7 linked regions of the Macaca mulatta genome follow. The protein of the gene in region 3 purifies or fractionates together with the protein of the main gene of each other region. This does not show direct contact. Links are inferred from orthologs where the notes say so. Each region holds a gene or a part of one and is shown on either strand. Other genes may lie near its edges. The genes, in order: PRKAR1A, YAP1, GSK3B, PRUNE1, EPB41L3, PPP2CA and GSKIP.

Evidence for each region.
Region 1: the proteins of GSK3B (region 3) and PRKAR1A purify together in Homo sapiens (affinity purification with mass spectrometry; 3 studies listed by BioGRID and IntAct, with this or other methods). This does not show direct contact. The link is inferred for Macaca mulatta from reciprocal best matches to the Homo sapiens genes GSK3B and PRKAR1A.
Region 2: the proteins of GSK3B (region 3) and YAP1 purify together in Homo sapiens (affinity purification with western blotting; 3 studies listed by BioGRID and IntAct, with this or other methods). This does not show direct contact. The link is inferred for Macaca mulatta from reciprocal best matches to the Homo sapiens genes GSK3B and YAP1.
Region 4: the proteins of GSK3B (region 3) and PRUNE1 purify together in Homo sapiens (affinity purification with mass spectrometry; 5 studies listed by BioGRID and IntAct, with this or other methods). This does not show direct contact. The link is inferred for Macaca mulatta from reciprocal best matches to the Homo sapiens genes GSK3B and PRUNE1.
Region 5: the proteins of GSK3B (region 3) and EPB41L3 purify together in Homo sapiens (affinity purification with mass spectrometry; 4 studies listed by BioGRID and IntAct, with this or other methods). This does not show direct contact. The link is inferred for Macaca mulatta from reciprocal best matches to the Homo sapiens genes GSK3B and EPB41L3.
Region 6: the proteins of GSK3B (region 3) and PPP2CA purify together in Homo sapiens (affinity purification with western blotting; 3 studies listed by BioGRID, with this or other methods). This does not show direct contact. The link is inferred for Macaca mulatta from reciprocal best matches to the Homo sapiens genes GSK3B and PPP2CA.
Region 7: the proteins of GSK3B (region 3) and GSKIP purify together in Homo sapiens (affinity purification with mass spectrometry; 10 studies listed by BioGRID and IntAct, with this or other methods). This does not show direct contact. The link is inferred for Macaca mulatta from reciprocal best matches to the Homo sapiens genes GSK3B and GSKIP.

Annotation. Positions count from the first base shown.
Region 1 is NC_133421.1:78,192,931-78,197,082, reverse strand, and holds the start of PRKAR1A (cAMP-dependent protein kinase type I-alpha regulatory subunit), read right to left. Parts: upstream 2,973-4,152; 5' UTR 2,833-2,972; intron 2,549-2,832; exon of another isoform or gene 2,430-2,548; intron 1-2,429. UniProt on the Homo sapiens protein: Regulatory subunit of the cAMP-dependent protein kinases involved in cAMP signaling in cells.
Region 2 is NC_133419.1:103,096,844-103,100,537, reverse strand, and holds part of YAP1 (transcriptional coactivator YAP1), read right to left. Parts: intron 2,356-3,694; coding exon 2,243-2,355; intron 137-2,242; coding exon 1-136. UniProt on the Homo sapiens protein: Transcriptional regulator with dual roles as a coactivator and corepressor. Critical downstream regulatory target in the Hippo signaling pathway, crucial for organ size control and tumor suppression by restricting proliferation and promoting apoptosis.
Region 3 is NC_133407.1:163,632,552-163,637,028, reverse strand, and holds the start of GSK3B (glycogen synthase kinase-3 beta), read right to left. Parts: upstream 2,943-4,477; 5' UTR 1,929-2,942; coding exon 1,841-1,928; intron 1-1,840. UniProt on the Homo sapiens protein: Constitutively active protein kinase that acts as a negative regulator in the hormonal control of glucose homeostasis, Wnt signaling and regulation of transcription factors and microtubules, by phosphorylating and inactivating glycogen synthase (GYS1 or GYS2), EIF2B, CTNNB1/beta-catenin, APC, AXIN1, DPYSL2/CRMP2, JUN, NFATC1/NFATC, MAPT/TAU and MACF1.
Region 4 is NC_133406.1:116,095,720-116,099,842, reverse strand, and holds the start of PRUNE1 (exopolyphosphatase PRUNE1), read left to right. Parts: upstream 1-1,238; 5' UTR 1,239-1,410; coding exon 1,411-1,449; intron 1,450-3,840; exon of another isoform or gene 3,841-4,123. UniProt on the Homo sapiens protein: Phosphodiesterase (PDE) that has higher activity toward cAMP than cGMP, as substrate. Plays a role in cell proliferation, migration and differentiation, and acts as a negative regulator of NME1. Plays a role in the regulation of neurogenesis.
Region 5 is NC_133423.1:76,749,208-76,753,521, reverse strand, and holds the start of EPB41L3 (band 4.1-like protein 3), read left to right. Parts: upstream 1-1,367; 5' UTR 1,368-1,654; intron 1,655-4,314. UniProt on the Homo sapiens protein: Tumor suppressor that inhibits cell proliferation and promotes apoptosis. Modulates the activity of protein arginine N-methyltransferases, including PRMT3 and PRMT5.
Region 6 is NC_133411.1:143,102,099-143,105,058, forward strand, and holds part of PPP2CA (serine/threonine-protein phosphatase 2A catalytic subunit alpha isoform), read right to left. Parts: coding exon 2,844-2,960; intron 2,086-2,843; coding exon 1,996-2,085; intron 1,510-1,995; coding exon 1,348-1,509; intron 213-1,347; coding exon 94-212; intron 1-93. UniProt on the Homo sapiens protein: Catalytic subunit of protein phosphatase 2A (PP2A), a serine/threonine phosphatase involved in the regulation of a wide variety of enzymes, signal transduction pathways, and cellular events.
Region 7 is NC_133412.1:169,670,175-169,674,523, reverse strand, and holds the start of GSKIP (GSK3B-interacting protein), read right to left. Parts: upstream 2,909-4,349; 5' UTR 2,858-2,908; intron 1-2,857. Other genes in the region: ATG2B (autophagy-related protein 2 homolog B), read left to right, coding at 3,451-3,612. UniProt on the Homo sapiens protein: A-kinase anchoring protein for GSK3B and PKA that regulates or facilitates their kinase activity towards their targets.

The sequences.
Region 1 (4,152 bases), on a different chromosome or scaffold from region 3:
TTACCAGGGCACACAAGTCAACTCTAAGTGAAAGCAAGTCAGCACAATGAAGAACATCTGACATTCCCTACACGTAACTTCTATCCCATGGGAGTGTCCTAATGTCACAGAGCAAACCACTGGAGTGAGGATTTGATTAGCCAACTACTAGCGTAATCAAAATTTTTAAAAACACGCAAGAACATTCAGGTGAGTTTTAAAAGCAACCTTTTATTATTCCAGAATCGTTTGCCAGATTCCACCCCTAAATGATAATACACTACTGGTAAAAGAAGGAAAATCCTAAGTTGGGGGAGGGAAGAATCCTTACCACGTAAACTGTAAAACATTTGGATAGAAAATTGTCAAAATATTTTCTTCATCTGGACAGGTGAATGTTAAAACACTTAAGTTTCAAACTTGCATGAAGAATCAATAGATAAATTGCATTTAATGGATTACATTTAACGGATAAATTGCATTTAATGGATTTTAGAGGATTCAAATTATGGTACCTTTATGTAAAGTAAAGCAAACAGAGATAATAATGAGCAGCTAACCCTACCCTGGAATTAAAAATTTAGTAACTTAACAACAGGGTCATATATTGTTTTTCTTCCAACTCCTAATTACTAAGCACTTAAGAGTAGAAGACAAGAGTGTGGTCCCCTCCACTCAGCAACTGAATTCAATACTAATCAGACTTTTCCAATTATAATGCATTGTAAACTACTGAGATGAAACTGTACATTTAAAAGAATTTATAGAAAGAAATACCAGAGTAAAGAGCTATTCTAAAGTGCTACACTGTCAGTCATTTTGTCTTGACAACTTTCACCATAAAGGTCAATAACAAGTAGACTAATGAACAAACTATTAGAAAATTTGTGGCTCCAAGACAAGCACATAAATTAGAAGCCATGGAAAAAGAATCATGCTGCTACTTTAGAAATAAACAGGCAACAAAAAAAAAAATTAGGATTTATACATGCCACTTCTCCAGGTCAGGCAATCCTATGAACTGAAAATCCACTTCAGCAGAATTGTCTGCATTTCAAGTAATACTTGAAGACCACCAAGAACAATCATAAATCAGATCTTTCATGCTTCAAAACACAGTCATATTTCAAGAACATTCAACCGATCATTCTAAGATCAGGTCTTTGGCTGGTAGAGATGAGAGAACTGGGCCTAAGGCGTGAAACTGTGCTTTTGTTTGAAACAACTAATGTATTACAAAAACCAAAAAGATAGCCAGTATACGAACAGAAATGTCCCAAGATTAATGCAGTCACCATGTAAATCCCTGAATAATCAGATTTCACAGTCTTAATATTTTTAATAGAGTTACCTGGATTCTCTATGTGTACTTATTTGTAAAAGCCCAACAACCTAGCCTTCCCTCCCCACACACAATTATTTAACTGCTTTAAAACACTCGCTGCATTGTCTCTATACCCAGATTCATTCATTTGAAAATGCAGTTGTGACAAAATTGCTTCGAAAGGATTACATTCTGGGAAATAAATAAAAACACTTTGAGAAACTGTTCCTGATTCAGACCGCACCCCCTTAGACCTGCCAAGTTACGGCTTCCCTGGGGTCATCTTGAGGAAGTGTTTGCTTTCCTTGCTCTGCTGAAAAGACGGATCTCTTGGGACTCTCTGAAGGAATAAGACGGTCGTCACCACAGGCTCTGACCTGAAGGGGTTAATAGGTACCGTGTATTTTCTAGAGGAAGGGCAGGAAAATGCCCTTCACTTCACGTAGGCCACGGTCATGACCACAAAATGAAGAAGGGAAGCCGAGACTTCAAGCTACGCCAGTCGGAAGGCCACAGTGGTGGCGAGGACGCCTTAGGCAGAAAAATCGGGAAACGGAGGGAGGTGAAGGGGGACAAAAGGAAATTCAGGAGCCCGACTAAGACCGTCGTGCTGGGGGAAAGATCACCTCGCTACGGAGAGGAAAGGCTACTGCTAGCAATGACTAGGAGCCGTTAGAGTGGAGAGGAAAACTGCCGGCTTACAAGAAGAGCCAGGACCGGCGGACAAAACGATGGCGGACCCCAGCAAAATAGAGCCGTTGTCCTTCAGGAAATGGGGGAGGGTGAGCGAGGAGGCCGCGGCGCGCGGGGGCGAAAGCGGCCGGGGAGGGCCGCGGAGGGCCCAGGGCTCCAAGCGCCGTGGGGTGGGGGCAGCGCGCGGGAGCTGGGCGGCTGGGAAGCCCCGTACCAAAGCCAACGCCCAGATGGCCTTGGGGATGCAGACTCGGAGCTGGGGGCGTGAGGCCTGAGGGGAGGCGCCCGCCGGGTCGGGGAGGGGCAGGGGGGTGCGGCCGTCCCCCCCGCAAGTCGCTCCCCGTGACGCCATCTTGGATCGGTCCAGCTCCCCCAAACGGGCGGCGAAGCGACGAAGCTCACCTAGCCTGAGCCCCCGACTGACCCCACTCACCTGGGGACGGGCGGCGGCGGGCGCGAGGCTGCGGGTGCGAGGTGGCGGCGTACCGAGCTCCCTCAGCGCTTTGCTCCCAGCCCCGCTCCACTCTGCGATAGCGGCTAGGCGACAGCTCCACCGGAAACGGCCTGGCCGCAGCCAATCAGCGTTCGGCTGCTGACGTCAATGCGCCTCGCTCTGGCCAGAGCCGTCGCCTTAGCAACCTTAAGGGCGCAACAGCCCCAGTTCCTCCCCCGTCGCTCTTGGAAGGACCCTCACTCTGCAGTCTTTCGCCTTCCGCCATTCATTCCATCTTACTCGTCCCTTATCCACAGCAGTTTTCTCACGCCCGCCACTTCTCCTTTCCGCACTCTCCCTAGCCCGGTTTTCTCCTCCTTCCTGCTCACCTGCCCCTCCTTACCTGTCCCTCTCTGGGTGTCTTGGGTCGCCTCTGTTCCTCCTGCTCTTCGCTCCCTCTCCGCGCAGCTAGCGTGAGCTTCCCTCTAGTCCCTCCGCTCCTCTGTCCACCCCACTCTCCCTCCGGCCTCCCCCGACGCCTCTGCCTTTTCTCCCTCCTTTCCGCCCCCTCCCCGGCTGACCCACGTGGGGCGTCTCGGATGACAGGTGGGCGACTCCGCCCCGCGGCCCCTGCAGGGGAGGGCTCCGGGCCGGGGCGGGGAGAGTCCTGGCGTTGCCAGCCCCCGGAGGAGGTGGCTGCCCCCGCGGATCTGCAGCAGCTGCGCCGCGGGGCCGAGCGCGGGCGGATGCCCGGGATGCGCTCTCCGTGCTGCGCATCCTGTGCCCGGCCAGCGCCGTCCGGGCCCCGGGCTCAGGTCCGTCATCCGGTCCGGGAAACCTGAGCCCTGCCGAGTCCCCGCTGGGCCGACACGGCCGCTCTCCCCGCCGGGCGTGCTGTCGTCTGTGCAGGCCACACCGTCCCTGTGGAAACCAGGCACGGGAAAGGACTTTGCCCGGGTCCTTCTAGAACCTGAAGTGCCCCCCCCCTCGCCCATCACTCCTGACCTCACAGGGGGAGAAATGCAGAGCGTGCAGATTGCCACAAACGCCCTGTGACCTAACAAGAAATCGCAGCTGTCCGTACAAGCTGCACTAATGGGGGAAATTCGGAGGAAAAGCGACTTTACTCTTTCAGCCATTTTTTTTTTTTTTTTTTTTTTTTTTTCCCCATCAGAGTATCTGTCTCAGGAGGAAGAAAAGGGAGACAGGGTACAGTTTTAGACACATGAAGTCTCTAACTGAATAAAGAAAGCCCATCAAGGACACATATCCAAGTGTTTGGCTGGGGGCTGCTGTAGTAGCATTGTATATATTTCTAGGGCTGTGTGCTTAAAATTCGTAATGAATTCAACACGATACAAAAAAGCAAAATACACATGCAAGTGTCTAGGAGCTGTTGTAGTAACATTGTATATACTTCAAGGGCTGTATGGTATGTTTAAAGTAAATAATGAACTCAACACAATACAAAAAAGTATCTCAATAATGTTTATACTGATTCCAGATTGAAGTGATATTTTTGATATATTAGGTAAAATATTATTAAAGTTAATTTCACCTTTGTTTTTTAATTCTTAATGTAGCTATTAAAAATTTTTAAGTTACACAGATGGCTCCCATTATATTCCTATTGGACAGCGCTGCCCTCGGAGGCCGACTGCTCCCCCCAAATCCACCAGGACTCTAAGGGTACTGTCTGTCAGATGATTTATTTAGTTATGTT
Region 2 (3,694 bases), on a different chromosome or scaffold from region 3:
ATCAACTCCTCTCCTTCTATGTTCATTCCATCTCCTTCCAGTGTTCCAAGGTCCACATTTGTCCCAGGAATGGCTTCAAGGTAGTCTGGGAAACGGTTCTGCTGTGAGGGCAGGGTGCTTTGGTTGATAGTATCACCTAGTGGAAACACACACAGAGAGATAACAAAGTCCTTTTTGAAAAGCTAACATCAGGGCTGTATCATATGAGCATACAGAAATGCACAGGGAAAGAAAAGCGCTCCTGACTGACCTAAACTGATACCTAGAATTTATATCAGGTCAAACAACTCACAGGTAACAAGATAACAATGCCGAGTTTACTTTTGCTTCAACATTTGTTCAGATATCCAATAACAGCTCGATTGCTATTATGTGCTGAGCACTAAAGGGAGTCATTAAAAAAATAAAAAAGTCCTTGAAAAATTATATGCAGCAGGGGGAGAAAGAACAAGAACACAACACAACAGCATCACTACCCTGTCTTCCAGATAAGCACCACCATAATAAGACTAAACATAAAAACGAGTGGTATAGAACTTCCTTGGTCTTAAAAACACTTTGGGAAACATTAAAATAAAAGGACTGCATGAATACTTTATTCCACCCTTATGCACCTTCATAACAGCAAAACAAGCTTCCCAGAGGGCTTTGAAGAAATACATCTTCTTAGCCTTGCTTCTAGGTTTCCCAAACTTACTCCGCCACAGAGCCTTTTTTGCATATGACAACATTAACATTCCTCAGAGCTTCAATAGAACATACTTTCAGAAAAACTAATATAAATCATTAAGTGCTATAGGGATCTAGAGAAGAGAGAAATACAGATTAGAGAAGTAAAAGTGTGTGTGAAATGGGTTTGAAGTGGCTCCTAAGGATGATTTAAAATCTAGGTAAGCAGAGAGGAGGGGGTAGTGTGGATTCTAGAAAGCATCAAAGCCAGGAGCTGGATGAGTACAGGCACAAAAGCCTTGCTAAACACTTTCAGAAGAGAAGCAGTTAGCGAAAGAGCTGGTAGCTAAAGAACAGCTTCATTTCCCTGCCAATTCATGCAGTCTGGCAGTTGTCAAGTTTAAGGCAATGGTTGCCAGGTAAGCCACAGGAGAAATGCTTCCTTAATTATCCCTGTGAGGCAGGTATTTCTTAGCTCCTGCAAGACCCCTGTAACTATTCCTTTTTTTTTTTTTGAGACAGAGTCTTGCTCCGTCACCCAGGCTGGAGTGCAGTGGTGTGATCTCGGCTCACTGCAACCTCCGCCTCCTGGGTTCAAATGATTCTCCTTCCTCAGTCTCCTGAGTAGCTGGGATTACAGGCGCACACCACCACACATGGCTAATTTATGTATTTTTAGTAGAGACAGGGTTTCACCATGTTGGCCAGACTGGTCTTGAACTCCTGACCTCAGGTGATCTGGCCACCTCGGCCTCCCAAAGTGCTGGGATTACAGGTGTAAGCCACCACACCTGGCCTTCTGCAACTATTCTAATAAAGTAAGTGGGCCCCACCTCCTAGTCTTTCCCATCTGGTTTCCTGAGCCCCGTAACACCTAAGGTGGACCAAAAACTCTTAAGAGAAAAGATGAAAACAAACACTGAATAACATGTAGACATTTCTCAAAATTAAGGACACAAATCCATAATAAGGAGAGAGATGTTCTAACGGGCACTTGTTTGTCTTGCCAATTAAGATCAACATGCTAATGTAAGTCATGCTGCCAGAGTTTTATTCAAATAGAGCTAATATATCCAATTTATGATTTTTTTTTTTTTTTTTTTTGAGAACGGGTCTCATTCTGTCACCCAAACTGGATGGAGTGTAGTGGTGTGATCACCAGGGCTCAATCCATCCTCCCACCTCAGCCTCCTGAGTAGCTGGGACCACAGGCACGTACCACAACACCTGGCTTATTTTTGTATTTTTTTGTAGAGATGGGGTTTCACCATGTTGCCCAGACTGGTCTTGAACTCCTGGGCTCAAGAAATACGCCTACTTTGGCCTCCCAAAATGCTGAGGTTACAGGCATGAGTCACCGCACCCGGCCAATTCATGATACATATTTTTTTAAACTAGGAAAATACCAGTTACAAATCACCATATAGAGACAAAGCAGGCTCAATTTAATTCGAATTTACAGGATTTTAATTGGTTTTCTTCTGAATAATCTTTGCTTACAATACCTTATTAGACCTGGTGATAACATATCCGACTGTAAGTCAGGCTACTAAGAGGAATAAAGAATACCAACCTGTATCCATCTCATCAACGCTGTTCAGGAAGTCATCTGGGGTGCGAGGGACACTGTAGCTGCTCATGCTTAGTCCACTGTCTGTACTCTCATCGCGAGAGTGATAGGTGCCACTACAAAAACATGACAGTTAAAGACCAACACAAAAAATTTTAAAAATCAATTCAAGGTAAAAATAAACACCTGCTGAGTACCAACATAATTCTCAAAGAGGGTTAGTGAAAATTCCTGCTCTGCAATGTCTGAAACAAGCCCCTCCCTCAGGGCCGTAGACAGGGCTTGTGCTATGAAGTGAAATAGACAAGTTAATCCTAATTGAAGCTAGCAGCCCTAAAGAGCCAAGATTTCTCCTAAGGTTCTGTGCTTGATGACAATAAGGGACAAAAAAAGGTACCCCCAGTTAGTTTTCCTGGCTGGCAGACAATTCTCTGCATGAGTATTCTCCTCTCTGTAATACTATTTGAATCTGGAGGTGGGGAGGAACCCACACAACTTACTTGTCCCAAGGTCTCAATTCTCCAGGTGGTGGTGGCACAGACAGAGAGGTCAAAACACAAACTCCAGGTGGGCGAGGAGACAGGTCTGCACTAGATTCAAGTTAAATTCCTAGCTCTTGTGCAGAGAACATAAGCCAAGGAAAAATCAACCCCAAATAAACCACCAGAATTCCTTTTAGGACTGAACCAAAATAGATGAGTCACTGCTGATAAGATAAGAATACTCATGGCTTGATCTCCTTGCTTCTGTGTTTGGGCGGGGGAGGAAAAACCCTCAAACACTTTAGTACGAAAGGAAACGGGAGATCATATAGCTCCAGTTAAAGAAAGAGCAAGACAAAAAACTGCAAGGCACATCCCTTGAAAATAAAATGACCCGACACAGATTTTCACTTTAGACTAAGCAAGGTTTCCCAGATTTACATTCATGTATGGTAAATATCCATTACTCTGATAAATAGAACACTCTCCTAAGCTGGTAGCATCTAGACATCAGCGGGCATTCACTGAGGTCTACTAACTCTAGAAAATTCTCAGTTCTACTAACTCTAGAAAATCTTGGAGAAAAGCATAAAATCAAGGCAGCTGTTATTCTTCAATGGTCTGTGTACATGTGTGAACTTTAACTTTCTCTATAGATTGTACATTTAAAAGCAGCTATTTAACTTACATAAAAGTTAAAAAATAAAAACAAGTTTAACAATTGCTCAAGGCTACAAGCTCAGTCAGTACCCCAACTGCCTTCCCTAAATGATGCAATGCGTTTGCCTTGTTCTTTCTCTCCCCTCATTCTATATACTGCAATCACTGGTTTACTCTAATGCTTCTGCCAGATTTTGCCAATGCTCAAAAGCTTCACACAGATCCAAGAAAACACATACTTGCCTCTGAGACCACTGATATACAATGCAGCCATGGATGAGAAGGCCTCAGTATTTGGCTTGTTTGTATTTTG
Region 3 (4,477 bases):
AATGAAAAGTCCCAAAATGTAGCATTATAATCTAGCATTATAGATCTCTGAAATAAAGCTAATAAATCAATTAGCTGAAATTGATTGACTGGTTTTCAAACTATATTACCAAGATGTAAAACATACAAACACTCCAGTACCAACAGAGGCTCTTAAGTAGTTATTATAAGATTTGTATCATCATAGCTGAAAATTACCCCGGAATTTTAAAATATTTTTCAAATGACTCCATGAAGCGCTTAGAAAGCACGACCCTTCCCTGAAAGATGCATAATCAGCTGTCCTCTTTTCCTACCCCGGCATTCTCTACTTGCAAACCACCGGGGGAAAAAAAAATTAACTTTGAAAAATAATCTCCCATTCAGCTATTACCTAGACTACCCTGTTTCAGGCTAGTTCCCAAAGCCAACACGAAATGAAATCTTGAGTTCAACTAAAAGTGATCATTTTATGTTGCCTAAGAATATAATCAATTTCACATAACATACATGTTTTTTGTGTGTGTCAGTTCTTAAAATCTCAGTTCTTTAGTTCTCTCCGTTCTTCTAAGCAACACAGTAATTTCTTTGCCCTCATGATGACCCTCTTTCCCACAATAAGGAAACAACATAGATATTTTTGTTAAATTCTGAAAGTATGTTTAAACAAGCTGTCATTAAACACCACATGAACTTCTCCATAAATAGAGATACACTGGAACATTAGATACTTAGTATATACTAAACACTTCAAAAGCATACTTCTCAGCACAAACCCAGGACAAGAGTAGTCTATCTACAACCCTGAACACAGTCCAAATATCCCTATTATTTCCAGGACCACAGCCATCTGCAAAAGCCAAAATGGAAAGGACTAAAGCCACATTCTTCTAACTAAATCCACAGTTATCTAAATGTGATGGAAACTAACGCAAGAGTATTTTAAATCGTCCTTTTTAAGGAACCCTCCAGAACATTTAACAGGAGCGCAACAGTACTCCAAAATTGAACTTAAATGTAATGAGCCAGTGACAACATTTAACTTACTATTTGGCACTATGACAAAACAAATCTCAATCAAAACCTGGACCTATTAATACTTCTATGTTACCTTTTGATTAAATATAAATTATACGGTGGCAGGTTGGTAATGTCAAAACAGGAAGGTTAAGAGAGAACACATCAAACCACTAATCCAATCGAACACAAATGCATACAGAGATGCTACTGCTGCTGGGTATTTATTGGCTCCCACTAGTCCCTTCTAAAGAGAGAAATCAATGACAGCCTCCAAATGTGAATGGTTACTGAGCAAGTTCATCCACAGATTAAGAACAAATACTATGTGTAGTCATACAGACAAGAAAAAAATGTTGGGAGGGTGGGACGTTTAATGTCTCTATTAAGTATACCAAACTATGATAAATCCTGAGACCTAAAATACCCTCTTATTCCAAAAGACATACATTCTGCAAATGTGCACAATGGTTTATTAATCAAATCTTGTCCTTCTCTTTATTCTAAAGGATGGGCAAGTAAACACGGTCATCACTAACGTGGAAACACTCAAGCACTTGATGAAACTCACTACCAACAGCAAGAAAAGTATAAGAAAGCAGTTTCAAATCGAATCATCCAAATAAAAATCATATTATCTCAATTCAAGGTTAATGAGACCGGGGGAGGGGGTATGGGAGGAGTAAAGAGGGAGCTGCTTCATCCTTGACTGAAGATAGGTTTTGCCCTTTTCCATTGCTTGTTTGTTATATTAGGAAGTCTAATATTTTCAGATCCTGGTATTCCGAGATTTCTTATTTTAAGGGCGAAGTGGAAAAGGGGCGTAAAATAAAATCAATACTCACTGCTAACTTTCATGCTGCCAAAAGCTGAAGGCTGCTGCACCGGCTTGCAGCTCTCCGCAAAGGAGGTGGTTCTGGGCCGCCCTGACATGATCACTCTCTTCGCGAATCACCTTTTCCTTCCTTCCTCCTTTTCTTCCTTTTGTCTTTATGTTGGGGTGTTAGGTTAATGATAAATGCAGCATTAAGTTCTCCCACAGAAGAAAAAGAAAAAGACTTCGTCCTCTTGGTTTTTCACTCCTTTTGTATACTATAAAAAACAAAACAAGCGATGTATTTCTCCTTCAAGACAGATCGGCACGGATATTTAACATATAGATGATTTACGGCTGGGGAAAAAATACAATTCCTTCCCCTCCCTTTCCTGGGAGGAGAGAAAAGAAGGGGCAAATCCTAAAAAAATATGTATCACGTGAAACAGGGGCAAATACTTGATTGAAAATGAGTACTTCGAATATTATATTTTCCTCGGGGATTTTTTTTCCGAGTCAATGAAGAAGGGAAGCGGCGGAAGGATCACGAGTCTCACGCTTGAAGAGAAAGGGGGATGGGTAGGAGGGAGGGAGAGGGAGGGAGGGGGTGGCTCGGAGATGCGACGGGAAACGCTGCAGCTCCGGCAGCCGTGGGATCCGGCGGGCTGACGGCGGGGGCCCGGCGAACTGGAGGGCGGCGGAGTCGCGAGTCAGTCAGAGGCGGGCGGTGGCGGCGGCTCCTCTCCTCATTGCGCCAGGAGCAGCTGCAGGCGGCGGCTGGATCCAGCGGCCATGGCGGCGGCGGTGGCGGAGGCAGCTCCCTTCAGACCCCAGGCAGCGGCTCCTCGACTGCTCCCCATACGCCGGGGACATGGGAACCCGGCAACCGCTTCCGTCCCTCGGGGCCCCCTCCCCCGTCCGCGGCAACAGCTCGGCCGCCCTCCCGCCCCTCGCCTCTGTTCGGTGCCCGCTCAGGAAGTGTCCGCGCTTTGCCCCCAGCCCAGAACCCTGTCAGCGGCTGCGGGGCCGGCTCCTCCTCGCTTCCTTCCTTCCTTCCTTTGTCACTCGGCCCGGGCGGCGGCGGCAGCGGCGGCACAAGCCCGCATTCGCCCGGGTCAGGGGCTGCTCTGTGTGAGGAGCGCTGTCTGCGCAGCCGCCTTGCACTTCCCCACTCCCCCTCCCCCTTCCTACTCTTCCTCCACCTCCTTCCTCCCCCACCCAGCCTTACACCGCCCAGCGCACCGCCGCCCGCGTAACAGGCGTCTGGGAATCGCCGCCCGAGCCCCACTCTCGCCCGCTTCGGCTGGGAGCCGAAGCCCGAACGGAGCCAATCACGGACGTCGTTTGTTTGCGGCTCCTCCCGGAAAAAGCCGATCGGCCTGAGAAACCAATTAGAAAGTGACGCTGGAAAGCCACGCCCAAAGAGCGGAAAATGCCGAAGGCAGCCGAACGGAAAGGGTGATTTCGCCTTGTTCGGTGGCTGGCTGGAGGAGACATTCGACAATGGCAACAGTGGCCAATCAGAGTCGCCGGCCCTCACGAAAAAGCTTGAAGAGTTGAAGACGGTGAAACCCAGAGACGCTGGTGAAACTGCACGGTTGGGCGCCGCCGCCGCTTTGTAATTGGCTGGAAAACTCCGCTGGGAGCGTACCTCCCTCGGTGATTGGTGAAGGGAAGGGGGCTTCCGAGGACAGTTTGGCCAGTCAGGACTTCCCCTCCCTCTCCAAGGTGGGGAGAAGAAAGCGAAGGGAGGGCGTCTATAAAGCGCCGTCTCATTGGCCGGAAGCTTAGGCGCTGGAGTTGGGGCAAAAGGGAGAGGGTGGAGCTCGAAACTCGCGGCGGTGGCCAATCGGCTCTCACTGCCGTCCAATCGCAAGACTTAGCTGCAGTGTGATTGGCCTTCGGCCTCCGTCCCAGGACCTGGGAGATGCCCGACTAGGGTCGTGGCTGACGACCCGACGGCTCGCCTGCGGCCTCCAACTACGGTGGAAACCGCACATAGGGACCGCCTGCCCTAGGCGCAGCAAATCGGAAAGTGCTGCGGTCGGCGGCGCTGGGTTCTAAGAGCTCAAGCGAGCAGAGGGGTCGAGGGGTTCTCCCCATCCACAGGAGGCTCTCGGCGGGGCGCAGCCAATTCTGCGCGCCTAAGGCTCCCCTCTGCCCTGGATCGCGTGTGCCGGGTGTCGGCCTCTTCCCCGAAAGGGCCTGACGGACAAAGGGGGCCTTCCCAGCCGGCAGCAAGCTCTCAGACGCTAAAATGGGAACAAAGCTTCTTTGGGCGGCCGCGCCCCGCCCAGCCTCGGGGGCCATTGATAGAGAGGCCCGCTGCGCTTGGTGTGCGCGGCCCGGCCGGGCCTCTGGAAACGCCCATGAGAAATGAGCTCATGCTGGATGCGCGCGCTCCTTGGGCGCAACTGCCCAGCGCAAAACGGGCCCCGAAAGCAGGTGAGGGGAAATGCCGTCAGGCCGGATATCCTGAAGCCTCCAAGGAAATGGGGGGTTAGAGGAGCCCGTGGTAGTTTTGGATCTTTTGGAATTAGGGTGATCTATAAAAGTGCAGCTTGAATAGATTTCATATGTAAGACCAGCGTCCATTGTTCTACGATAGAACCAGTTCCTTTGGTCTGCTTTAGAACAGTGAGGTATGGCTACGTCAAGAGAGAGAAAG
Region 4 (4,123 bases), on a different chromosome or scaffold from region 3:
GCGCGATGGCTGACGCCTGTAATCCCAGCACTTTGGGAAGCTGAGGCGGGCAAATCACGAGGTCAAGAGATTAAGACCAACCTGGCCAACATAGTGAAACCCCATCTCTACTAAAAATACAAAAATTAGCAGGGCGTGGTGGCACGCACCTGTAGCCCCAGCTACTCGGGAGGCTGAGGCAGGAGAATCACTTGAACCCGGGAGGCAGAGGTTGCAGTGAGCCAACATCCTGCCACTGCACTCCAGCCTGATGACAGAGCAAGACTCCGTCTGAAGAAGAAGAGGAAGAAGAAAAAACTGGCAGAGCAGGCAGGCGATCCAACACCCCTGTGCTCTGGATCGTGGTTCCACCACAGGCCTCTCATCAGTCACCTCCTCTCGATTTACAGCTGGGGAAGCAGGAAAAGCTGGTGTGAGGCTGATGGTAGGAAATAAAGCGATAGATAAATAAATGAGGGAATTTTTGATGATGAGTGTCCATTTATTTACAGTACTTGCACTACCCTGCGGCTGCAAAGTGGCAGTTAAGGGAGGCTGGAACCTAACTCTACATTCTGAAGGGTTCCCTAAAACTCTATGTACAGGGCCGCCACAGGATGAAACTTCAAGCAACTCTAAAGGCTGAAAGAGCAGTTGGAACAATTAGGGTGGCAGAGAGCAAAAAGTCAAGGTTACAACCGTCCAAGAAAGGAAGGAGAAGATATTTGCGGAGGCTGTAGGAAAAAAACAGGCTACAGAGTTGCAAAGGGAGAAGCAGCAGGAGTTGGCAGGAGACTGTAGGTGTTAGGTAAACAAGAGGGGTCAAAGATTATTCTAATGTTCTCCTAACATGAACAACCACAAAACTGGTTGAGATTGAATCAGTTTGGTAAAAGGCAGAATTTCGGGAAAGAAGATCTGTTTTGCCAAGTGTCATTTAAAATGTCAACCGGATGCTCGGTGTGATATATGGAAAGATGTTATACTTAGCCTGATCTGAGAGGGAAAGTTCAGATGCCACAATAATGGGTTACTGTGACACATACACATTTGTTTACCAAACAACGGATCCCTCAGAAAACGCTCCTTCCCTCGGTAGCTAGGGACATTGCGGAGCCGCAGGACTACGTTTCCCACGTCGCCCCACGCCACACCCACTTGGCCTCTCCGGAAAGACGTCCCAGGAGCCTCTGGGCGTAGAGCCCCGCCTCCGCCGCTGGGGGAGGGGCGACGCCAAGCTCGGGAGCACCCGGTTACGCACTTCCTCCCGGGGTCGGAGGCCGATTAGCCGTGTGGCGGGTTCGAGTCCCGCCTCCTGACTCTGGCCTCTAGCCCCTGAGTCCCGGGCGGGGTGCATTCGCCGGGGAAACCTCTCCTCGACCACGGGCACCTCTCCTCGACCAGGGGCGACGGCGTACTTTGGGCTTCATCATGGAGGACTACCTTCAGGATTGTCGAGCTGCTCTACAGGTAACCGATCCCTGTATGTGACTGTAAGGAATGGAGCACGGGGTCCAGGAAGGACGAAGACGTGGGATCTGGGGAGCCTCGACGGTCCGTGTGGAGGGAACACTGAGTTGTGGGGAGGGGGGTTGGGGCCTGATCAGGTTTGGGGCATGAGGAGCGAGGAGCGAGAAGCCAGCTTAGGAGCGTGAGAATGCTGCTTGCTTAGTCTCCCGGTTTTTGGCTCCCCGCCTTTGGGGTCCGCCCGAGAGCTGGGAGAAGTCTTGGGTCTGAATCCTGCATTTGAGCCTCTGCTTGCTGTCATCTCGGTCAGTTCCGTCAAAAGGACCAGGACTGTGCGACCGCCAGCCGAGCCCCGCGAGGTGTGTTTATTCTTTTCTCCCCGCCCCTCTTTGAGTTCTCCGCTTCCAAGGCCTCGCTTGGCCCACTGGCCTCCAGGTGAACCTCGCGGGTGTGGAGGGAACCGGTGCTCACGGCTTTATTTCCTCTGAATGGCGGTTTCTGTCTGGCGGGCTGAACTCATTTCTAAGTTAGAAGTAGTCACGGTATTTTACTTTAAGTCAGTGTTTTTAAACCAAGCATACATAATCCATCAGGCATATTTGTTGACCCACAACCAGCATTCCTTTGCCTCCAGGTTTCTCCTTTGGCCTTAACGCACACACATTACATAAAAATTCTCCACTTGGAAGGGATAAGCACAAAGTGTGTTTAGAATCAAAACCATAAATATGACTACTGAATGCTTTGTGGCTTATTTTTGGTGCTCTCTGAGCCAGTTGGACTCACCCAGCCATGCTGAGCCGTCATGAGGCATTAGGCTGTTATCCCCAGTTAGCAGCAAAAAGCTAACCAGAGACAGACTCCAGGAGGTCACCCGGCCCCTCTACTTTGAGTTATATTGCCCTGAAGAAACCTAGACAGATGGCTTGCTGAGCTTTCCTTTTTAGATATCGGAAACTCAACAAATTCCCCTGGGGGACAGATTCTGTTCTTTAACAAATCCTGAAAGTCACTTAATTCCTGCTGCAGACTCAGCTGCTGGAATAAATGAATTGTCTTCATATTGAATTGGGGAGAAGGTCCATTTTAACACCAATTACATAGACATTTTCCTTGTGAAAAACAAATTTGGGGAGTTATTTCAATGCATAAGGCCATTTGGAACCAATCCCTTTTTGTTACGTCTGATTCCACCACAGGACTAATGTAGAGTTTTGGGGGCACCATTCTAAGTGCTAAACAGTTGGATTCCCCCCCCCCAGTAACCCAAATGACTGGTCTCTTCCACCAAGTGGTAAAGTGCCCTTGGACCTGAAACCTCACTAAATAGTATTTCTTTGCATGCATCTATTCTCCAACATATATCCTCCAGAGCCTCCCCCCACCCCCAGGTTAGCAGTATATTCTCTATTTTTATTTTGTATTTGTTTATTTATTTTGAGCCAGGGTCTCACTCTGTTGCCCTGGCTGGAGTGCAATGGTGTGATCACCTCCCCGGCTCAAGTGATCCTCCCCCCGGCTCAAGTGATCCTCCCACCTCAGCCTCCCGAAAAAGCTGCGACTATAGGCAGTGCCACCATGCAGGGCTAATTTTTTGTATTTTTGTAGAGACAGGGTCTCGCCATGCTGCCCAATCTGGTCTCGAACTCCTGGACTCAAACAATCCCTCTGGCTTGGCTTCCCAAAGTGCTGGAATTATAGGTGTAAGCCACTGTACCCAGCCCTAATAGTATATTCTCTACAGCAATATGAAGCTGGAAAAATACTTGATTTTTCCAATATTGCTGGAATCCTGACCTTTCTCTACCTGCATTCATCCCCCAAGGAGCAAGATCTAGCTCTTCTTTCAAACTTGTGAACTTGTGAAAGTTGAGATTGTGTCTTAGAGCTTTCATCATCACATAGCCTCTCCAGGGCCTGGAGAAATGAGAAAATTAGACTCTAGGAAGGTTAACAGGTGAACTGATGGCAAGACATACTGGTAGATGCCAACAATTTAGATTGCTTTAATTTTTTTTTTTTTTTTTTTTTTTGAGATGAACTCTCACTGTCGCCCAGGCTGGAGTACAGTGGTGCAATCTTGGCTCACTGCAACCTCCACTTCCTGAATTCAAGCGATTCTTCTGCCTCAGCCTCCTGAGTAGCTGGGATTACAAGCTTGCGCTACCATGCCTGGATAATTTTTGTATTTTTAGTAGAGACAGGGTTTCACCATGTTGGCCAGGCTGGTCTCGAACTCCTGACCTCAAGTGATCTGCCTGCCTTGGTCTCCCAAAGTGCTGGGATTACAGGCATGAGCCACCACATCCAGCCTAGATTGCTTTAAATTATAGAAGTAGTAAATGTGTACTTTATGAATAAATTTAAATACCAAAGGGATATGGAATGAAAAAGATAAAGATCATTTTTCTTCTCTCCTCTCCATCCAGTTCTCCAGAGGACACCCTGTTAAGTTTCTTGTGTAAAGAGAGAGAGATGATTTAGACAGATACATTCTTAAGTTTGAATGTTCCTGTTAAACTACAGTTTAATTATAACTTTCAGAAAATCATGAATGCTCTTCTTTGCACAGAATAAAGACAGCTGGTAATCCAGCCAAGTCTCCCGTTGCTACTGTATTTTTAGTATTTGATACCAGAGAAATTTTCTACAGCCTCTGCCACAGAGACAATAGGAT
Region 5 (4,314 bases), on a different chromosome or scaffold from region 3:
AAAAAAGTTTGCTTTTAATTTCCAAAGTGGACCCAAGATGATAGGGTCTCATGGAACAAAATCTTTGCTTTGATGCAAGGAACCAGTGCTATGCAGCAGTCTTCCAAGTTACTTACCAACAGTTGAAAGGGTGTGGCTTCTTGACTGGTGCCAAGTGTTTCCAATATGCCCTTGTGTAGCGCCACCTCTGACTTCCTATAGAAAGCCTCTTTCCTCTGCCTCAGCCTGCTGAGGATTCCACAAAACACAGCTAGATGTGAGCTGCATGTGCACACTCCAGTCTCATTTAACAGTGCAACACCTGCACTCTCAAAACCTAGACATTTCCCTAATGGGCTATAAAATGTGCTATTTGGGCAGTTAATTTCAAAATGTTATTAAACTAATAGGCACTTGGCAATGTACCTCTTTCACATAGATACACCCAAGAGTCAGACGTTTCTGGTTGATTGGATGGCTTTCCAGACTTGTGATTGTCATATTTTATAGCTTTTCCTCCTCCAGAACGCTTTACGAAATCCGTTTTCCAGAAAGCACGCCTCCAGGAGCTACTAGGAGGCAGAGTGAGTGAAGACTGGCCTGAGTGCCCAGGGATAGACTGTGCAGTGAACTCTTGTCCAGGTCTTTGGGGTAGAGGTGGAAGGAAAAGAAAGATAATGTTCCCTTTGTTTACTTAGAAGGTCCAAGAGTTGTAGAAAGCACAGGTCTCGTTTTTAGTGTGCACGGGCATATATTCTCATGGCCTGGACTCACAGGCCACAGAATCAAGCAAACACGCATGTGACATACTGAGCCTTCAGGCCTGGAAACCCCGTGGGCACCAGTGGGGATGGCTTTGCAGGCGCTGGAACTGCGGGATCCGCCGCTGCAGGGGTGCAGGCTGGGTGAGAAAAGGGTGCAAGCTGGGTCTACACTGCTCTTCATATTTTGGCGCTTCATGTGAAGTTGGATGATGCTTAAATGAAACAGCCCCCAAGCCACTTTCTGGCCTACATCCCCAGACCGCCGCTGTGAAGTTAACTCTTTTCAGAGATTGCAAAAATTTAATACCAGCAAAAGAAACCAAGTTACCAGGTCCCCTTAAGGCACACGAAAGGACATTTATCATAGCCTCTCCTTTCCCTCCAGTCCCTAGCTACACAAAATTGTGTGTGTGTGTGTGTGTGTGTGTGTAATTCTTTCCCTGCTTGCAGAGACCGCTGGCTATAAAGCCCAGGGAGGCCTGTAAGGAGACCCACACTTTGCGAGCGCGCGGCTCGAGGGCGGGCTCAGGGCGGGGCAGAGCGCCGGGACCGCCCGGGCGCCGGGCGCAGCCAACGAGAGGACCGGGAGGGCGGGCCGGCGAGGGCTGAGCGGCGCGGGCTGTCACAGGCGCCCGAAGCGCGCTGCAGGTGGCAACTTGGAGGTGCCGCCACCGCAGCTGCGGGAGGAGCCCGGGTCTGGCGGCTCCTTCCAGCCTCCAGGAGCTCTTTCCCGCCGCCGAGCCCGAGATTGGACCTCGGAGAATTCGCAAGAAAGAGCCCCTGCGGAGGGACCTGTGAGCAGCCCTACCTCACTCTGCCCTTGCGCTACTTTTTTCCTCCAAGGAAGGTTGTGCCCGCGGGCTGCCAACAAGCTCCGGGAGGGGCCCCAAAGGAAGGCTTCGGTGACCCAGGTGAGCGCCTTTCCCTTCCAGTGCCCCATCCTTCTTGGCAGTCGGGCGTAGGCCGGGAGCGCCGCCTAGCCCCGTGGGTAGGGGCGCGGGTGCGGGCCGCCTGCCCTTGGCTCGAGGTCGACGGGGGAGAAAGCAAGGAAGGGGCGAGGCTGGCCCGACCGGGGGCTGCCGGGCCGGGTCCGCCCGGAAGCGGCAGGGACTCTCGGACCGGCACCTGGAGACTAGGGACGAGCAGAGAGGTGCTTTGAGGCGGACAGAGGGCTTGCGCCCGGTTTAAGCTGGCCGGGATCTACCGCCTGCGCTCTGTGCTGGAGCCGCCGTGGGAGCCGAGCGCGGCGCCTCTGCGAACCCCAGAGCTAGTGCGCGGGGCCCGGCGAGCGCACCAGTCTTCGGTCCCTCGGAGCCCAAGGCCCTGGAGGACGTCATTCCTCTCCGCTCGGGCAACTCCTCCTCCGCCCCGTCTTGCCTCCACCCCTCCGCGCCCGCCGTTTAGCCTATTCGGAGACTCCGTGCTTTTTGCCAGCGCGCGCAGTGGTTGCTGCTGTCACTCCCCTCCCCGCCCTCGCAGGAGTTGGAGCGACCTGGGGTCTGGGTCCCCGGCCCCCGCCGCCTAGTTGTGGGCTGGACGCGAGTGGGGCTGGCCAGTTCTTTGCGAGGAGGGCAGGAGTGAGCGCGGGCTCTCTCTCTAGTGCTCCTTCCGAATCCGTCCCCGCCCGCCCCTGCAGCTCGAACCGCTAGCCCAGAGAGCGGAGTGTCAGAAGCCAGATCTTGTTAGCTCTGGGGAAACTAGGAAGCCTGGGAAGGTGCGAACCTCGCCGATGAGGCCAGAGCCTCCGCCCCCATCTCAGTGTTTCTGCCCCTGCTTTCCTGCTTTCAAGTGGACAGTGGCTTTGACCTCCGCATTCCTGCTTGTGGCGTGGGGGCGCTAGCGGCAGTGTGTGTGTGTGCGGTTTGTAAGGATGAGCGAATGCGATCCTCCGGGAGGCAGAGGCGCAGGAGCCCGTTCCCCCAGCCCGGCAGAGCCGCAGGGACCGCCACCCCTCGCCGCCAGCGGCGCGCAGCTGCAACTCCGCGCTGCCGGTTTCTCTCCTCCCGCTCCAGCTCCCAGTCCCCCCCCACCAACGCGGCATCCCAGGATTAAAATCATCTGGCCAAAGGGTGCGGGTGGGGGATCGAGGTGCTCCCGAGGCGAATGAGGCTGTTTCTCAAAATCCTGGGAGCGCCCCTCGCCCGGCGCTGCATCTTCCGGTGGCTGGGCTGTAAGGACCGGCGGTGGAGGCTTGGCGGAGGCGGGCCCGCGCTCCAGAGAGGCCGTCATGTCACCCGAGAAGCCGACGCTGGGGGCTGCTGAACCTCCGAACTCCCTTTGACGCGTCCTGCTCGGAGCCGGGGAGCTCCTGGCTGGCCGGGGGAGCGCCGCGCGGGAGGTGCGGTGGCCTGGCCAGTGCTGCGGGAGGGCGCCCCGGGCGCGTCGGGGGCTGCGTGGGGGGGCTGGAGAGCGCGCGGGGAGCTGCGGCGGGCTTGGGGCACCCGAGTGGCGCTGGAAGTTGAGCCGGGGTCCGCAGGGCTCGGTGACCGCCCTGGCGCCGCCGCTGCGGATTCGGGAACAGCGGCCACGCGGCGCGTTCGGCCGCCCCCTCGGCCCGCCCGCCGCGGCTTTCGCTTTCCTTCTGCAGAAGTGAAGCCGCCGCCTGGGCTCGCTCCGGCTGGCGACCTTTGCGCCAGAAAAGCCTGAGGTGCTGGAGGCGAAATCCTCCCGGGAGCGAAGGGCGGCGTCCACAAGACAAGGAAAGGGAAGACGCCGGGCTCCGGCGGGTAGCGCAGTCGCGGGAGGGCGGCGCTGAGCGCCAAGGATCCCCGAGGCGAGGCGGACCCAACCCAGCCGGGAGGTGCTGCCCTGGCCCTTGGCGCTCTCTCACAGGGAGCTGGTGGACCCCCCGCCCCTGCCAGTCCGTAACTCCCGTGTAATTCCCTCTGAAGTGCTAAGACTGGGCCGGGAGAGGGCTGGAAGCCACTAAATGAATGAAAGTAGAAACGGTGGTGAATCCCAAATCTAACTATGGTTTAAATCTAAATTCCACGTGATTAGAAACAGATTCTAACCCGGTAGAGCAGGGTCTATGTGGGAGCTCCTATATCGCATTCAAATAATGGCAGTTACTGAGGGACACCGCAAGACTTGCCCCTCCCAGGCTGTAATTGTGCTGCTTTGGGGAGTGGGGGTGGGGTGGGCTCCAGTGTGCCCGTATCATTACACATAATCTAGAACGAGGAAAGAGTGAAGTTCAGGTCGGTTCTGAAATGACCTTGGGAGTCTCCGTCTTCACTTTCCCTTACTTGCCTAGGCAGTTCCCAGTTGGATCAGTTACAGTTCAGACTTGTGACACCAAGGGGTCAAAGAGCCTCCCTTGTAACATTAGATAATAGTCTTCTTAGAATGTGTGGTAACCGTAGGAAAACATTCTCAGTACTGAGGAGCAGAGGTATAAAACCGAAAGTTTGCAACTAGGCTATGACCTCTCAATCCCAATAATGGAAATACAGCTCTTAGTGGAATGTAAGTTATTGAGGGCAGGGTTCTTTCTCATTCTTTTATTCCCAGAGTCTGGCACTTAGTAGGTGTTCAACAAACATTTGTGTAGAGCAGGGCCTATAATTAA
Region 6 (2,960 bases), on a different chromosome or scaffold from region 3:
AATATAGTGACACCCTCTCTCTCAAAATAAATAAACAAACCAAAAACCTACATATTCAGTAATGCAATAAAATGTTCAAGTAGAAATACTTACAAAGAGTATTTTAGAGTATCGTCAAGTTCCATGATTGCAGCTTGGTTACCACAACGATAACAATAGTTTGGAGCACTGAAAATTGTTACTACATTTCGGTCATGGCACCAGTTATATCCCTACAAGGAAAAGGAGGCAAAAATCTTACTTTACTCCCTCAATTCAACTAAATGCTACTTCACTCAAGAGAGAAAAAAATCTCTACTCATTCCCACCCCTGCCAAAGGGGCTTAAGAAATGTTAATACTTTTTTTCTGGTTGACTTAATAATTTGCTGTACTTCATACAACCTGTAAGATACATACGTATTTGTTTTCCCCCTAATTACAAAATTTGCTTTTAGTACTAAAAAGAAAAAAAAAAAGCCTTTAACAAACAGTGGCGACCACCGAAGAATGAACTGCTTCTCATGTATCTGCCTTGCTGTAAATGATGGTGTCTCATTAGCCTCTTCTATTGCAGTGGTCTTAAAACATGATTTAAGAATGAGTATTTAAGTGGCCATTCCCTAGAGAAGTAGATACCTAATCCTGGAGATCAGAACCTTACCAATTTCGTCAGTTACAGGTAAAGGCCTGTAAGTCATTCACTGCCCAGGAACAAATGTGATATGCCTCTAGGATCTCCAGCCTTGTTTCCTCAAAATCCATCCATCTGAATGCATGAGCTACTTTTGTTACTTTTTGTTTAGTATTGTTCACAAATTTATTTATCTTTAGCAAAGTCAGATTTTATTGATAACCACAGAGTTGTACTAGTATTAATCTAATTAGCACCTTATTTTAGAAACATGCTAATCAGTGTGCATGTCAAGAACCTTTGCCTCTTTCCCTTCTCTTCTTTCAAATTACCTGTAATCCTACCATCCAAAGGACCACTTAGAACATTTTGGTGTATTTCTTTCCAGTCTCTCCTACATACATACATGTTAAATATATGAAATGACATTGGGATCATAAAATATTATATACACACCCCAACTCCCTACATCTTACTTTCCCACTCTTAGATCCCAAGTACTTCCTAGTCATTCAGATTTCTCTGGAAACATGTTAATGGATTCATTGTAATCAACAACTTGAGCTTTTAATTCTAGTAGTGTGCATCTACTGAAAAGGCTCAGGCTATAATGGTAAACTCATCAGAAGGAATAGATGGAATTTCTCACAAATGTCATTAATTTAAAACTCCCTAATATCTTCTCTCCTTAAGTTTACTAAAAAACAAGTCATATTTCAAATAATAGAAGCATACCTCCATCACTAGCTGGTGAGCTCTTGACACCAACGTGAGGCCATTGGCATGATTAAATGTCTCTGAAATATCTTGCCCAAAGGTGTAACCAGCTCCTCGAGGAGATATTCCCCAACCACCACGGTCATCTGGATCTGACCACAGCAAGTCACACATTGGACCCTAAAAAATAACTTCGTTATAAAATGCCTTTTACAAACATGGTTAACACATTATTTGAGTAATTCATCAGAAGCAGCACCCTAAGTCACCCTCTTTGAGTGATGTTTGTGGACAACGCTAGTAGATTATGCAGTTGAAGTCAAACATCTGCATCAAGTAATATGTATTTTCCAGTAGACTTTATGAGACACAGCTGACATCCATGGGACCCAGCAGTAACATGCCTTAATTAATCTGCCTATATTATGCAAATTTCAGAGTCTAAGACAGACAACCTAGGTCCTAATAAGCCCAGCTCTACAGCTGCTGTGATCTTGGCAGGTTTCTTAATGTCAGCTTCTTCTGAACAATAGGGCAGACAAGAGTGTTCACACCTCAAGTTGTTTTTGAGAATTATAAGAGAGAATACATCTAATGATCTTATAATTAAACCTCTCCACTCTTTAATAAGTTTTCTGGAAAGATTTTATCAAATAAAAGTCATACCTCATGGGGAACTTCTTGTAGGCGATCAAGTGCTCTGATATGATCCAGTGTATCTATAGATGGCGAGAGACCACCATGTAGACAGAAGATCTGAAAAGAGTGGTTTAAAAGGTTAACCTCACCTAAAAAATTTGTAAACATTCTTGGCTGGGCACAGTGGCTCATGCCTGTAACCCCAGCACTTGGGGAAGCTGAGGCAGGAGGACTGTTTGAGGCCAGGAGTTTGAGACCAGCCTGAGCAACACAGCAACACCCTGTGTCTCTATAAAAATTTTTAAAAAATGAGCTGGACGCCCCCATCACTTGGCCCCTCTGGTGTTTCTGTGCTCTGCCTGAATGAGGCCTGACTTTGCAGGATTCAGCTTTGCTCCAGCCCACTCTAAACGATTGAGTACACTCCCATTCTTCCTAATAGAACATCACTGTCACACCCAGACTCCACCTCAAACAGCTCCTTTGAGAAAACTTTTTGGATATCACTCCTGCCCCCTGCCAGAGACTAGTATCTCCATGCTCATAAAATTTTATTATAAGTTCTTTTGTGTGCACAATAATTAGTTCCTTACATCTCCCAGACTTGTCCAAAAACAGTCTGAGAGAATAAATGGGCTACATCATCCACCCCTGTGATCCCATCATATAGTTCAGTGCCTGATATAAAGAATAATGCACTTTAAAAAGCTGGACACATTTGTCAAATTAATTTTTTAAAATTTGAATGAATGCTATCAATATCTACTAAAAAATATCCCTAAAGGGGTATAACAGTGGAAAGAGTCAGGAGCACCTGAACATTAAAGGAAGTTGATTCTCTGAAATAATCAGCAATGAGTTTTAGATCCACATACCTGCCCATCCACCAAGGCAGTGAGAGGAAGATAGTCAAAAAGATCTGTAAAATATTTCCATACATTTGCATTTCCATATTTTCTTAAACACTCATCATAGAAACCATAAACTTGTGT
Region 7 (4,349 bases), on a different chromosome or scaffold from region 3:
GTTATCGCAAAACCTTCGTTTTAATTTTTCTTTCTGATATTTGAAATTGCAGGCACTGTATGGATAGCCTGAATGCAACTGTATATTGAAAAAGAAACCACTTATTTAATAGCTGCTGAAAGAAGTTCAAATCGTATCTATTTGTCAGAAGTCTATTTCAAACCTTCCAAAGCCTATTCTAATTTATTGCCGGATAAGATCCCACCTTTGACTTTTCACACCACCTTGCTTATATTCCTTTTATGGCAAATATTAGAATTATTATTTGCAAACATGTTTTATCTTCAAAATATATCCAGAATCCAACAGCTTCTAACTAATCATCTTCACTGCTACCATTTTGGTCCAAACCACTGTCATCTTTTCCTTGGATTACTACTACGATATCCTTCTAACTGGTTTTGTTGTTTTCACTCTGGTCCTCCCACTTCCACACCAGACTATTCTTAACATAGCAGTTAGCATGATCCCATAGAAACTGAGGCCATATTACGTCACTTCTCTCCTAAATCCACCTCACCCAGAGTAAAGGCCAAAGTTCTTTTTTTTTTTTTTTTTTTTTTTAAAGACAGAGTCTCACTCTGTTGCTCAGGCTGGAGGGCTGGAGTGAAGTGGCATAATCTCCGCTCACTGCAACCTCCGCCTCCTGGGTTCAAGCGATTCTCCTGCCTCAGCCTCCCAAGTAGCTGGGATTACAGGTGCATGCCACCACACCTGACTACTTTTTAATATATTTTTGGTAGAGACAGGGTCTCACCATGTTGGCCAGGCTAGTCTTGAACCCCTGACCTCAAGTGATCTGCCCGCCTTGGACTCCCAAAGTGCTGGGATTATAGGAGTGAGCCACAGTGCCCGGCTCCAAAGTTCTTATCAAAGGCCCAGGAGGCCCTACATGATGTGCTTCCTCTGCGCCCCCAGCCCCCAACTGCCCAGCTTCTACTTTTTCCTTCACTCACTCCTGATGTTCCCTAAACTCATCAAGCATTCTCCTGTGACAGCACGTTGCACTTGCTGTTCCCCTTGCGTGGAAAACAACTCTTCCAGGTATACGTGTGCCTCACTTCCCAGCTTTCTCCAAGTTTCTGCTAAAATGTAATCTTATTAAATAAGAGAATGTCTCTTACCATCTCATATAAAAATGGCAAGTCCCTTCTCTCTTCCCCATCTCCATCCCCTTTACAATGCTTTTGTTTTTCCAACAGCCCTTATCACCACAAAGCATATTATTCACTCATTGATTGCATGTTTCTCCTCCCTTCAATAAAACGTAAGTTCCGGGAAGGAAGAGACTTATCTGTTCACTGCTGTATCCCCAGCACCTAGAACAGTGCTTGGCACACAGAATGCAATCAATAAACATTTACTGAATAAATGAACAAACTTCCACTTTATTATTATTTTTTAAAGAGACAGGGTCTTGCTCTGTGGTTCAGGCTGGAGTGCAGTGGCATAATCGTAGCTCGTAAGATCCTTTCTGATATTTGAAATTGCAGGCAGTCTATGGATAGCCTGAATGCAATTCTGCAGCCTCAAACTCCTTGGCTCAAGCGATTCTTCCGCCTCAGCCTCCAGAGTAGCTGGGACCACAAGCAGGCACCACCATGCCCAATGACCTTCCACTTTAGAACATAAACTCCTTGAAGGTTCTGCCTGATTCTTGATACTGTTCACATCATCAACTGTGGTGACGTTCATTTAACAGACCTTAACAAAATTTTTGAGTGAAGAGCAAGGGAATCTAAGTTACTGAGAATACTTGGGGTAAGTCTACAAGGAATTAGGGGAATCAACAATCCAAGCAACTGCATACAGAGCACCCTGATTCTAAAACGAAAAGGTGGTTGTGGAAAGCGGAATCAGATGTTTCTCCATCTATCAACATTTTGGGCAGTATTTCCAAGGCATTCATGAAAGTTGCTGAGACAGTAAATATTTCACTCCTTAAACTGCTCGTCTTAATTCACTGGGATTAAACAGCTGTATGTTTCAGGACTCTGTTCAGGTTCGTGCCCTACTCATATCATTTAATCTTCCTAATAAATCCATGCACATAAGATTTTAATCCACTGACACTGGGCAAAGGAGGCAACGTGGACTCGGGGAGGGCAGTGGCCGGCTCAAAGTGGCTGGGCTAATAGGTGTCAGTGCCAGGATTCTAACCCAGGACATTTGGCTTCTGGGCCATCGAACACCGGCACCCAGGCCTTTCGAGGTTGACTAACTTAAGAGCCGGCTCCGCCTCTGCAGGAGTTGCCTCCCAAAAGGCAGAAATACGATTGCGCAGACGACCAGAACAGCCCAAGTTCTTCACCCAGGTTCCCGCGGGATCAGGAGCCTTCAACATTTCTCAAGGAATGCAGTTTTGCCCACAGATGCTTCGAAAACCCAAGTTTCCTGATCGTTGGTATGACACACCCAGGATTAAGCGAGCGTATGCGAGAAGCGCTCTGCAAACCGCCAGGCGAACGGCAACGAAGAGGAAGCCTCGGAAACAATACCTGAACGAGGCGGGGGCTGAAGAACTTGCTGACAATGGGCACCGGTCAATGCTTGGGGGCGGGCGGGGATGTTCAAGAAGGGCTCCAGTCCTCCCCGCGGAGACGGCGGAGCCCCAAGCGTGCGTTTCTGGGGCGCCGAGGTCTGAGGGGGGGCCGGGAGAGCCAGGTCGGTCTTAACAAGCCCCCAGACCCCTCTTAACACCGGCGCGGGGCCCCTGCAGCCTGCCGCCCCTCTCGGCCCAGCCCGCTGCGCGGCGTCGCGTCCCCGTCCGGAAGGCCCCACGGCCCGCCGGCGCCCCGAGCCCCTAGCCCTTGTCAGAGGCCGCCCCTCGCCCGCAGCCCGCCCGGCGGCTGCTTACCTGCGCACCCGGCGTCCTCTGCTTCTTCCCTCCGGAGGCGACTGGAGCCGACCGGCGGTGCCGCCCCCTCCCTCCCCGCCCTCGCCCGCCCCGCCCCCTCGGAGCCGGAACTGCTCCAGCTCCCGCCCTTCTGCCCGCCTTCCGCGGCCCCCTGTGTGGTGTCACTTCCGCCAGCGCCCGACGGCGCGCCGGGAGTCTGGGTCTCGCGAACGCGCCGGAAGCGTCCCTACAGCCGGGAACGCGCCTCGCGGATGACAACAAATTCGTCGCGCGGCGGCAGTGGAGGTGTCTGCCTCAGCCTGTGCCGCCTCCCCTCGCGCTCTCTTGCACTTTCTCTGAGCCGGTTGGGATCTCCCTCGGAAGTCCCCTGGCCTGGGGCCAGGAGGACCCCACTGCGTCTTGCCTCCGCCAGGCCCAGCGCGAGCGGCGCGGCGCCGGCGATGGGGTCTCCCTGAGGAACTCCCGGCGCCAAACAGCGATGAAGGGGCCGCCCCAGGCTTAGGCCCCGCCGCGGCCTGGAGCCGGAGTCGCTACCCTGAGGCCGGAGCCAGCGCCACCCGCAGCCGCAGTCAGCCCAGCTGCCAGCAGTCACCATGCCTTGGCCGTTTTCGGAGTCTATCAAGAAGCGGGCCTGCCGGTACCTCCTGCAGAGGTACCTGGGCCACTTTCTGCAGGAGAAGCTGAGCCTGGAGCAGCTCAGCCTGGACTTGTACCAAGGCACCGGGTCCCTCGCCCAGGTCCCCTTGGACAAATGGGTAAGAGCTGCCGGGCAGCCAGCCGGGCGGGGCTCGCTCCCCTCTTTAGGGCGCTTTGAACCGGTGCCATCCAAGATTGGTGACAGTCATTCCCTCCTTGGGAATTGTTTGGACCCGAGTGTGGCACGGCTCAGATAAATGTGTTAGAGTGTTGTTTAATCTGTTTAACAAGTTTGCTCTCCTGAATCACGTGTTCCGGAAACTTAACAGATGTAATGGAATCTACACTATGGGAATAATTGAGTCAGTGCTTCGGGGGGTCTGTGAAGCAGGCTCAATAGGTCCGTGGGAGGAGGTGACCAGAATTGTCCCTTGGGATGTGAGGGGCCGCAGGGTTTTGTGGCAAACAAACCCTGCCTTGTGCGATGACATTCTGGAACGATTAAGGATGAAGAGGACCTCTGGATGTCAGAATCCCTAGTTATTGGTTTTGGGTTGGCCACTTGCACACCATGTTTGCCTTGTTTGTCATCGTGCAGCGTTTGCCATCTGGAAGAAAGTTAGGTGAAGGCCTCCTGTGCCGGTTTGCCTGCTTTTGCTTGATTATATGTTTACAAGATAGGTTTGTGTACCCAGCCTGTGAATGGTCGTGTGGCCCTAGTAGTGCTGTTGAGTTACGCCTCTTTGCTTCACGTGACAGATCGTAAAAGCAGGTGTTGCAAAAGCGCTGAAGCTGCAATTTTCAGACATTTTAAAACCTGTCTTCTACTTGTCATCTAGAGGCTGTGAGTTCACTC